2 linked regions of the Macaca fascicularis genome follow. The protein of the gene in region 2 purifies or fractionates together with the protein of the main gene of each other region. This does not show direct contact. Links are inferred from orthologs where the notes say so. Each region holds a gene or a part of one and is shown on either strand. Other genes may lie near its edges.

What was found. The genes of interacting proteins can lie anywhere in the genome.
Region 1: the proteins of PSMC4 (region 2) and UBC purify together in Homo sapiens (affinity purification with mass spectrometry; 3 studies listed by BioGRID, with this or other methods). This does not show direct contact. The link is inferred for Macaca fascicularis from reciprocal best matches to the Homo sapiens genes PSMC4 and UBC.

The regions. Positions count from the first base shown.
Region 1 is NC_088385.1:132,077,541-132,081,604, forward strand, and holds UBC (polyubiquitin-C), read right to left. Parts: upstream 2,801-4,064; 5' UTR 2,737-2,800; intron 1,903-2,736; 5' UTR 1,900-1,902; coding exon 298-1,899; 3' UTR 230-297; downstream 1-229.
Region 2 is NC_088393.1:47,110,136-47,114,476, reverse strand, and holds the start of PSMC4 (26S proteasome regulatory subunit 6B), read right to left. Parts: upstream 2,839-4,341; 5' UTR 2,801-2,838; coding exon 2,765-2,800; intron 1,867-2,764; coding exon 1,768-1,866; intron 1,644-1,767; coding exon 1,457-1,643; intron 1-1,456.

The sequences.
Region 1 (4,064 bases), on a different chromosome or scaffold from region 2:
ACACCTGCCTTTTTGTATTTGCAGTAGACATAGGGTTTCACCACATTGGCCAATCTGGTCTTGAAGCCGGCTTTTATTTGCACCCACCTTCTACAGTTCGTACTATATTAAGGTCAACCCCTTCACTGACATTTCACTGTTACCACAGCAACATTTGTAAACTGAAAACCTTGATCCCCTTCACCCAGTCTAATGCAAAATAACCTTAACTTTTAAAAAACCACACCAGTTGGGAATGCAACAACTTTATTGAAAGAAAAGTGCAATGAAATTTGTTGAAACCTTAAAAGGGGAAACTTAGACACCCCCCCTCAAGCGCAGGACCAAGTGCAGAGTGGACTCTTTCTGGATGTTGTAGTCAGACAGGGTGCGTCCATCTTCCAGCTGTTTCCCAGCAAAGATCAACCTCTGCTGGTCAGGAGGGATGCCTTCCTTGTCCTGGATCTTTGCCTTGACATTCTCAATGGTGTCGCTGGGCTCCACCTCAAGGGTGATGGTCTTGCCAGTGAGGGTCTTCACGAAGATCTGCATCCCACCTCTGAGGCGGAGCACCAGGTGCAGGGTGGACTCTTTCTGGATGTTGTAGTCAGACAGGGTGCGCCCATCTTCCAGCTGTTTCCCAGCAAAGATCAACCTCTGCTGGTCAGGAGGGATGCCTTCCTTGTCCTGGATCTTTGCCTTGACATTCTCAATGGTGTCGCTGGGCTCCACCTCAAGGGTGATGGTCTTGCCAGTGAGGGTCTTCACGAAGATCTGCATCCCACCTCTGAGGCGGAGCACCAGGTGCAGGGTGGACTCTTTCTGGATGTTGTAGTCAGACAGGGTGCGCCCATCTTCCAGCTGTTTCCCAGCAAAGATCAACCTCTGCTGGTCAGGAGGGATGCCTTCCTTATCCTGGATCTTTGCCTTGACATTCTCAATGGTGTCGCTGGGCTCCACCTCGAGGGTGATGGTCTTGCCAGTCAGGGTCTTCACGAATATCTGCATCCCACCTCTGAGACGGAGCACGAGGTGCAGGGTGGACTCTTTCTGGATGTTGTAGTCAGACAGGGTGCGCCCATCTTCCAGCTGCTTTCCAGCAAAGATCAACCTCTGCTGGTCAGGAGGGATGCCCTCCTTGTCCTGGATCTTTGCCTTGACATTTTCAATAGTGTCACTGGGCTCCACCTCAAGGGTGATGGTCTTGCCAGTCAGGGTCTTCACGAAGATCTGCATCCCACCTCTGAGACGGAGCACCAGGTGCAGGGTGGACTCTTTCTGGATGTTGTAGTCAGACAGGGTGCGCCCATCTTCCAGCTGTTTCCCAGCAAAGATCAACCTCTGCTGGTCAGGAGGGATGCCTTCCTTGTCCTGGATCTTTGCCTTGACATTCTCGATGGTGTCACTGGGCTCCACCTCGAGGGTGATGGTCTTGCCAGTGAGGGTCTTCACGAAGATCTGCATCCCACCTCTGAGGCGGAGCACCAGGTGCAGGGTAGACTCTTTCTGGATGTTGTAGTCAGACAGGGTGCGTCCATCTTCCAGCTGTTTCCCGGCAAAGATCAACCTCTGCTGGTCAGGAGGGATGCCTTCCTTGTCTTGGATCTTTGCTTTGACGTTCTCGATGGTGTCACTGGGCTCGACCTCGAGGGTGATGGTCTTGCCAGTCAGGGTCTTCACGAAGATCTGCATCCCACCTCTGAGGCGGAGCACGAGGTGCAGGGTGGACTCTTTCTGGATGTTGTAGTCAGACAGGGTGCGCCCATCTTCCAGCTGCTTTCCGGCAAAGATCAGCCTCTGCTGGTCGGGAGGAATGCCTTCCTTATCTTGGATCTTTGCCTTGACATTCTCAATGGTGTCACTGGGCTCAACCTCAAGGGTGATGGTCTTGCCAGTCAGGGTCTTCACGAAGATCTGCATTGTCTAACAAAAGAGCCAAAAACCACCAGCATTTAGCAGACAATGTACTAATCTTCCTAATACTTAAACTATATGTTATATTCACCCAAATGATTACAATTTAAAAGATACCTAAGAAACTTCACAAAATACACTCGCCAACCCCGAACGCATAGTTTAAAACTCAGACTTCAGCTACTTAAGAAAATAGGAACATAGAACTGACCAAAGAAACTGACGCCTCACTTATCCCTCCCCTCACCAGAGGTCAGGCCCCTGTCGACTCAGGAGGGCCTACCCTAGGCCCCAACCCTGCGTCCTGCGACGAAGAAAAGCCTACTGCACACCTACCGGCAGGTGGCCCCACCCCACATTATGAGCCAACAGAACGGATGACGTCACGACACTGCGAGGGCGCGCGCTCCTCAAGCTACGGGTGCACTGCCAAGTGGCACCGCCATTAACTGCCGCCCCCGCAACAGACGACAAAGCGAGTTCTCCGGTCAGTGACAGACTTCACATCAAGGTCCCCAAATGGTGCCCCAGCCCACCTCACCAGAATAAGAGCGTTCCCGCATTAGCGAAAACCTCAAGGCCTTGGGTTCTTGCCGCAAACCATGCCCCCCACCTTGTTTCAACAACCTCACAGCCCGCCTCACAACCGTCTTCCATTCAAGAGCCGGGAACAGCCGCCATTTTGCTGCGCTCCCCTCCCACCCGCTGCTCGGGGCACCTTGCTCGCGGACCCAGACTACAGCCCTCGGCGGCCTCTCATCCCGCGGCGTCGGCCCCCCTCCATCCCACCGAGCGGCCCAGCGGCCACGAAAGCCATGGCCGGCCCAGCAGCCCTCTGCTCACCAAGTGGCGATGACACCGACACACAAACAAGAACTGCGATCCCACTCCCGGCTGCGACGGAACTAGCTGCGCCACACCCGGCGCGTCCTTATATAGTCATCGGCGTTCACCGCCCCAAGGAAATTCCTCCGCAGAATCGCCGAGAAGGGACTACTTTTGCTCGCCCGTTCCGGTCTCTGGAAAGAAAACCAGTGCCCTACAGTCACCCAAGTCCCGTCCCAAAATGTCCTCCTGCTGAGACTGGGGTTCTGGGACTGAGTCTGGTGGGCAGCGGGCCGCCGTCCTGAGCGCCCAAGCGGAAGAATCAGGGCGCTCGCTGCGCCCTGCGGCCATGACGTGGAGGCGCTCGCCGAGAGGAGGGGGCGTCCGCGGGAGGCGCCAAAACCCGGTGCGGACTCTGCGGCGCCAGGAGCGGGTGGGCAGCCCGCGTTCCTCAGCCGCGGCCCCTCCCCTCAGCCCCCGCGGTCCCCTCGGGTCGCGAACCCCGCGTTCGGCGGACGTGGGGCGCGGACGGAGCGCCTCCCGCAGAGTCGGGGTCTCCCTCCCCTCCCTCGCGACCCGCCCTGGCCCACCCCGCGAGACGGACGGGTCTTTATTTTTGGGTCACATTTGAGATAATGACGGGGCTTTCTTTGCTCAGCCCCCCTCAGTCTTCCTGAGCTTCCCAGCCCGGTCGCGGGGGCTCCCCGGTGCCGCGCCCCTCCCCCGCTGCGGGCCGCGGGACAAGGACAATGACTCAGCAGATCTCAGGCCGGGCGCGGCCCTAAAGCTGGGGAACGCTCGAGAACTTTCGAGGGGAGACACTGCAGAGGAGCTGGTGTCCAGGTTAAATTTGGAAAAGTGAGGGGGAAACCCCACACAGTTTTTTTTTTTTAGCTGGAACCCAAGGCTGAGGGAACGACATCCTTCTAGACTGTTCTTTCACCTTCGTGTACATTCTGAGGGCCGGGTATGGAAAGGTCCTACTTGGTTTCAACAGGGAGGCCTAGAAATTTCTCTGGTTTCAATGGGTACGATTATTGTAATCAGGATCCATTCAATAATCGGACCCATTTAAACCGAAGGTTTTAAAAGACAGGAATAGAATCCCAGCCCTATTTCAGGGCAGGGTAGGGTGTCAAATATGAAATGTAATTCTACAGGGCAATTCTATTTTGATAAAAGAAGTGGGGAGAAAAGAATCACCAGCCAGGTTTTTAAATTTTTACCACAACCTATTTTGTGATCCTTATGTGTCATTTCTTCAGTATATTTTTAAAATGTTTTAACAAATACGAACATGGTGAGATTTTTTAAATGTGTCTTTTTAAAGTGTACAGTGAAAAGTC
Region 2 (4,341 bases):
TCTCTTTCCAGGCTCAGTCTCTCTCCTGACTGTCAGACCTGGCTGACCAGCAGCCTCCTGGACACCTCCCATGATGCTCTGGACTGCCCTCCCTGTGTTCCCACAAACCTGCTCCTCTACCCATGGTGCCATCTCATGGAAAGCTGCACTATCCCAACTCGCAACATAGAGACCTCATCCTGGATACCACTCTCCCCTCACTTTCTCATAGCCCCCCAGTCCAATTCCAGGCACAATCGCACACCTTTCTCCACAACCTTTACAAGAACATGGCTTGGTCCAGAGGAGCAGAGCCCAGAAACGGGAAAAAACAGGTAAGTGCCAGTAACAATGACTATCAAGAGGGCAAGGCCTAGACCTATATAAACAGCAGCAGCTACAATATACTCTGATAGGGACTCTGAGTCCCTATCAGAGCCCAGTCTTTTTTTTTTTTTTTTTTTTTTTTAAGACAGAGTGTTGCTCTGTCGCCCAGGCTGGAATATGGTGTCGCGATCTTGGCCCACTGCAACCTCCACCTCCTGGGTTCAACAGAGTCCCATGCCTCAACCACCCAAGTAGCTGGGATTGCAGGCGTGCACCACCACACCTGGCTAAATTTTATATTTTCAGTAGAGACAGGGTTTCTCCATGTTGCCCAGGCTGTTCTTAAACTTCTGGCCTCAAGTGATCTGCCCACCTGATCAAAGTATTGGGATTATACGTGTGAGGCACCATGCCTGGCCTCAGAGCCCAATCTCTTAACACTCCTACTCATCGTTGCAAACTGCAGGCCCCAAACCAGTAGTAGTTGTGAAATCAGTTTGGAAGTTCATGACCAGAACTGTGTTTAAAGCAAAACAGACTAGAATAGGATAGAAAACATCAGCAAATACCACACATAGTAAGGCTAAATATTTCATGGTGAGACTTATGTTTTATACATCTATCTAAAAAGTAAGAGACAAAGACATATTCACAATGTAAAATATATTTCTGGCCGGGCACAGTTGGGCTCACACCTGTAATCCCAGCACTTTCGAAGGGCGAGGTGGGTAGATCACCTGAGGTCAGGAGTTCGAGACCAGACTGGCCAACGTGGTAAAACCCTGTCTCTAATAATAATACAAAAAGTAGCCAGGCGTGGTGGTCCATGCCTGTAATCCCAGCTACTTGGGAGGCTGAGACAGGAGAATCACGTGAACCTGGGAGGCAGAGGTTGCAGTGAGCCGAGATCGTGCCACTGCACTCTCAGCCTGGACGACAAGAGCAAAACTCTGTCTCCAAAAAAAAAAAAAAAAAATATATATATATATATATATATATATGTATGTATATGTATTTCTACCTTTCGATCAAAATACTCTGAAGAACACTGCACTGCACTGCCCTGCCTTGTTTGCTGCTTCCTAGCACATGGTAGGAAATAGTGAAGTGGACAAATGAATGAATTAGATGTCCTTAGCTACCCACACACCTGTGGTAGAGCCAACAATAGCTGTATTCTGATCCACAGCCTCCAGAAATTGTCCGATGACCAGCGGGATGCTTTGGATTCGCTTCACCTCCTCCTGGGCATGGAGGAATTCCTTTTTCAGGTTCTTTTGCTCATCTTTGATGTATTCCTCCTGCACTTCCAGGAACTCCAGCTCTTGCTGCAGCTTCTGTGAGCAGAGAGGGGACAGAAGGGGATGGCTCCAGCCCTTGCTGATCCAGAGAGTGGTGGAAAATGGGGAGAGTATAAGATGCCAGGTCCTGTGCAAGGTCTGGGTTGGGGGTTGAATGTACCTTGTAGCGGCTGTACAGGTCCTCCAGGTCCTCAGGCTCAGGGCCCAGGAAGGACAGGCCGGTCTGGGGCCGGGACACGGACAGCGCTGGGATCTCATCCTAGACCAAAAGGGACAACTTACGTTGGAAGACGGTCCTCTCATGAAAGCATCTCAACTTCACTAACGTTTGTTCCCCTCCCCACGTCACCCTGAAGTCACTTACCCCCTAACAGACCCCTGATATCATAAGACCCTCTAAATAGATCCTGTTTTTGGCCTCCTAAACAAGCTCCTTATGTCAACTTGCCCCCAAACAGTTCTTATGTTATCATATATCACTCATAACATGTCCCCAGTGTCACACAACCCCCACCTAGGATCTAAATGTTACATCAACTCCATATCAGACCCAAATGCCACCCGATCCCCCTCAAGAGGTTCCTAATGTCACATGGCTCTCCTAGATAAGCTGTTAAAGTGACTGCGCCTTCAAAGAGTCCCAACATTCCCCAGTTTCCCCTCAAAGATCCCTTATGTCACAGTCTCCTAACTCACCTTAGACCTAAACATCACTCAGCCAAGCCACAGATAATACTTAACTACCCGCCCCATTACCCCCATCAGCAAAGCCCTGAACATCAGTCAGCCCCGCAGCCTAGTCCCGGGGATCACTCGGCCGCACAGCTGGATCCCATACATCACTCACCGCCTGACCCAATCCCAACGCCGGGCCACCGACTTAACTAAGCACTACCGGCCAGGGTTCGAAATCAATCCGTCCCAAAGACCCACTAACGTCACTCACTCCCCTAGACCCGCTTTCTGAGCCTTACCTCCCACCATCACTCGGCCACCCAGACAAGCCTTCGAACGGCACAAAACTCTCCACCGAGGCCTCAGAAATCACCCCAACCCGGGCCGGGGTCCCGGAAGCCATTCATCTCCCCACTCAGGTCTGGCTTCACCCTCTCCCCGCGAGCCCAGCACGGACTAAAAAGCTCAAGTCCCCACTGTACCTGAGCCTTCTCCACCAAGATGCCTATCTCCTCCATAGTGACCAAGCCGGCCTCTGTGTGGCCTGGGATGATCTGTCACCGCTTCCGCTGACGACAACGGAAGTCCCTGGCTGAGGAGGCTTCTGGGAAGCGTAGTTTAAGTTACCGCTAAGAGTGGCTGGAAGGGCAGGATAGGATGAAGGGCTCATCTGGGCTCCGCCCTCAACATAAGCTCGTGCGCTGTCCGTACCCGCAGGCTTGGGGGCGGGACCGGAGCTGTGCGCGTGCGCAGCATCACGCGACAGCGCCATCTTGCCCTGCAGTGAAGGGCTGGGGGTTTACCCCAGGAGGTGGCGCAAGGCCGTTGCTCTTTCAACGGAGTAAGTTCGCAGAGCTCTGGCACGGACAGTCTGGCGGCCAACTGCTCTTAGCTTTCATTTAGTGTCTGGGCTGGAGGGGCCTTGAGCTGGGCTCCACAGAAGGGATCGTATGGGCGGGTAGGGTCTCCTTGTGGGGCTGATCCCAAGATTGTGCCCCGCGCGGGCGTAGGAAGGTCTGAGCTGCCCCTGAAGGTGACCTTTCGTACCGGGCTTTACCCCCAGGAGTGAGGAGCCCCGAGCCCGCAGTGAGCAACCAGTCAAGTAGAACCCACGCGTCTGGGCTGGGGAAAATGAGGCAGCCAGTGCCCAGAAATTGGGTTGCACAGGAGATCCATAGGCCTTAATTCTGTATCCCAGGTTTCCGCCTTACAAACCTATGCCAGGTCCTGTGCTTAAGCTTTACAGGCATCATCGTAGCAGGTATTATGTTTCCTCATTTATAGAGAAGGAAACAAGCCCAGAGCCACGAAGCCACCAGCTGTAGTCACAACGTGCCGAAAGGACAAAGCACAGATTGGGACCCAGGTCTGTCTGACCCCAAAGCCTGTATTCCAGGCCCCAGGGATACACTGCTACCCTTCACACCAGCTACAGTTTTTGTTAAATAAACCTTTTATTGAAGTTAAAGAGAAGAGCACAAATCATTACAGCTCGACGAAATTACACAAAGTGAACACACCCTTACAACCTGAATTCAGATCGCAAAACCAAACAGTAGAAGCCCCATGTGCTCCCCTTTCCTCCATCCCTTCTTCCCTCCCCCTCCCCCACCCCCCCACCCCTGCCTCAAGGGGGCGTCTCACTCTGTTGCCCAGGCTAATGTTTGTATTTTTAGTAGAAACAGAATTTCACCATGTTGGCCAGGCCGTTCACAAACTCCTGACCTCAAGTGATCTGCCTCCCAAAGTGCTGGGATTACAGGCGTGAACCAGTGAGCCACCACACCCAGCCTCCTGGATCCTTTCTAAAGGTTATCATTCATCTACTCATATTTTTTTTATTTTTATTTTTATTTTAAGAGATACAGTCTCTGTCGCCCAGGCTGGAGTGCAGTGGCACGATCATAGCTCACTAGAGTCTCCAACTCCTGGCCTCAAGCGATCCTCTCTCCTCAGCCTTCAAAAGTACTGGGATTACAGGCATGACCCACCCCACATAGCCTTTAAATATATATATATACACACACATATATATACACACACATATATATACACACAC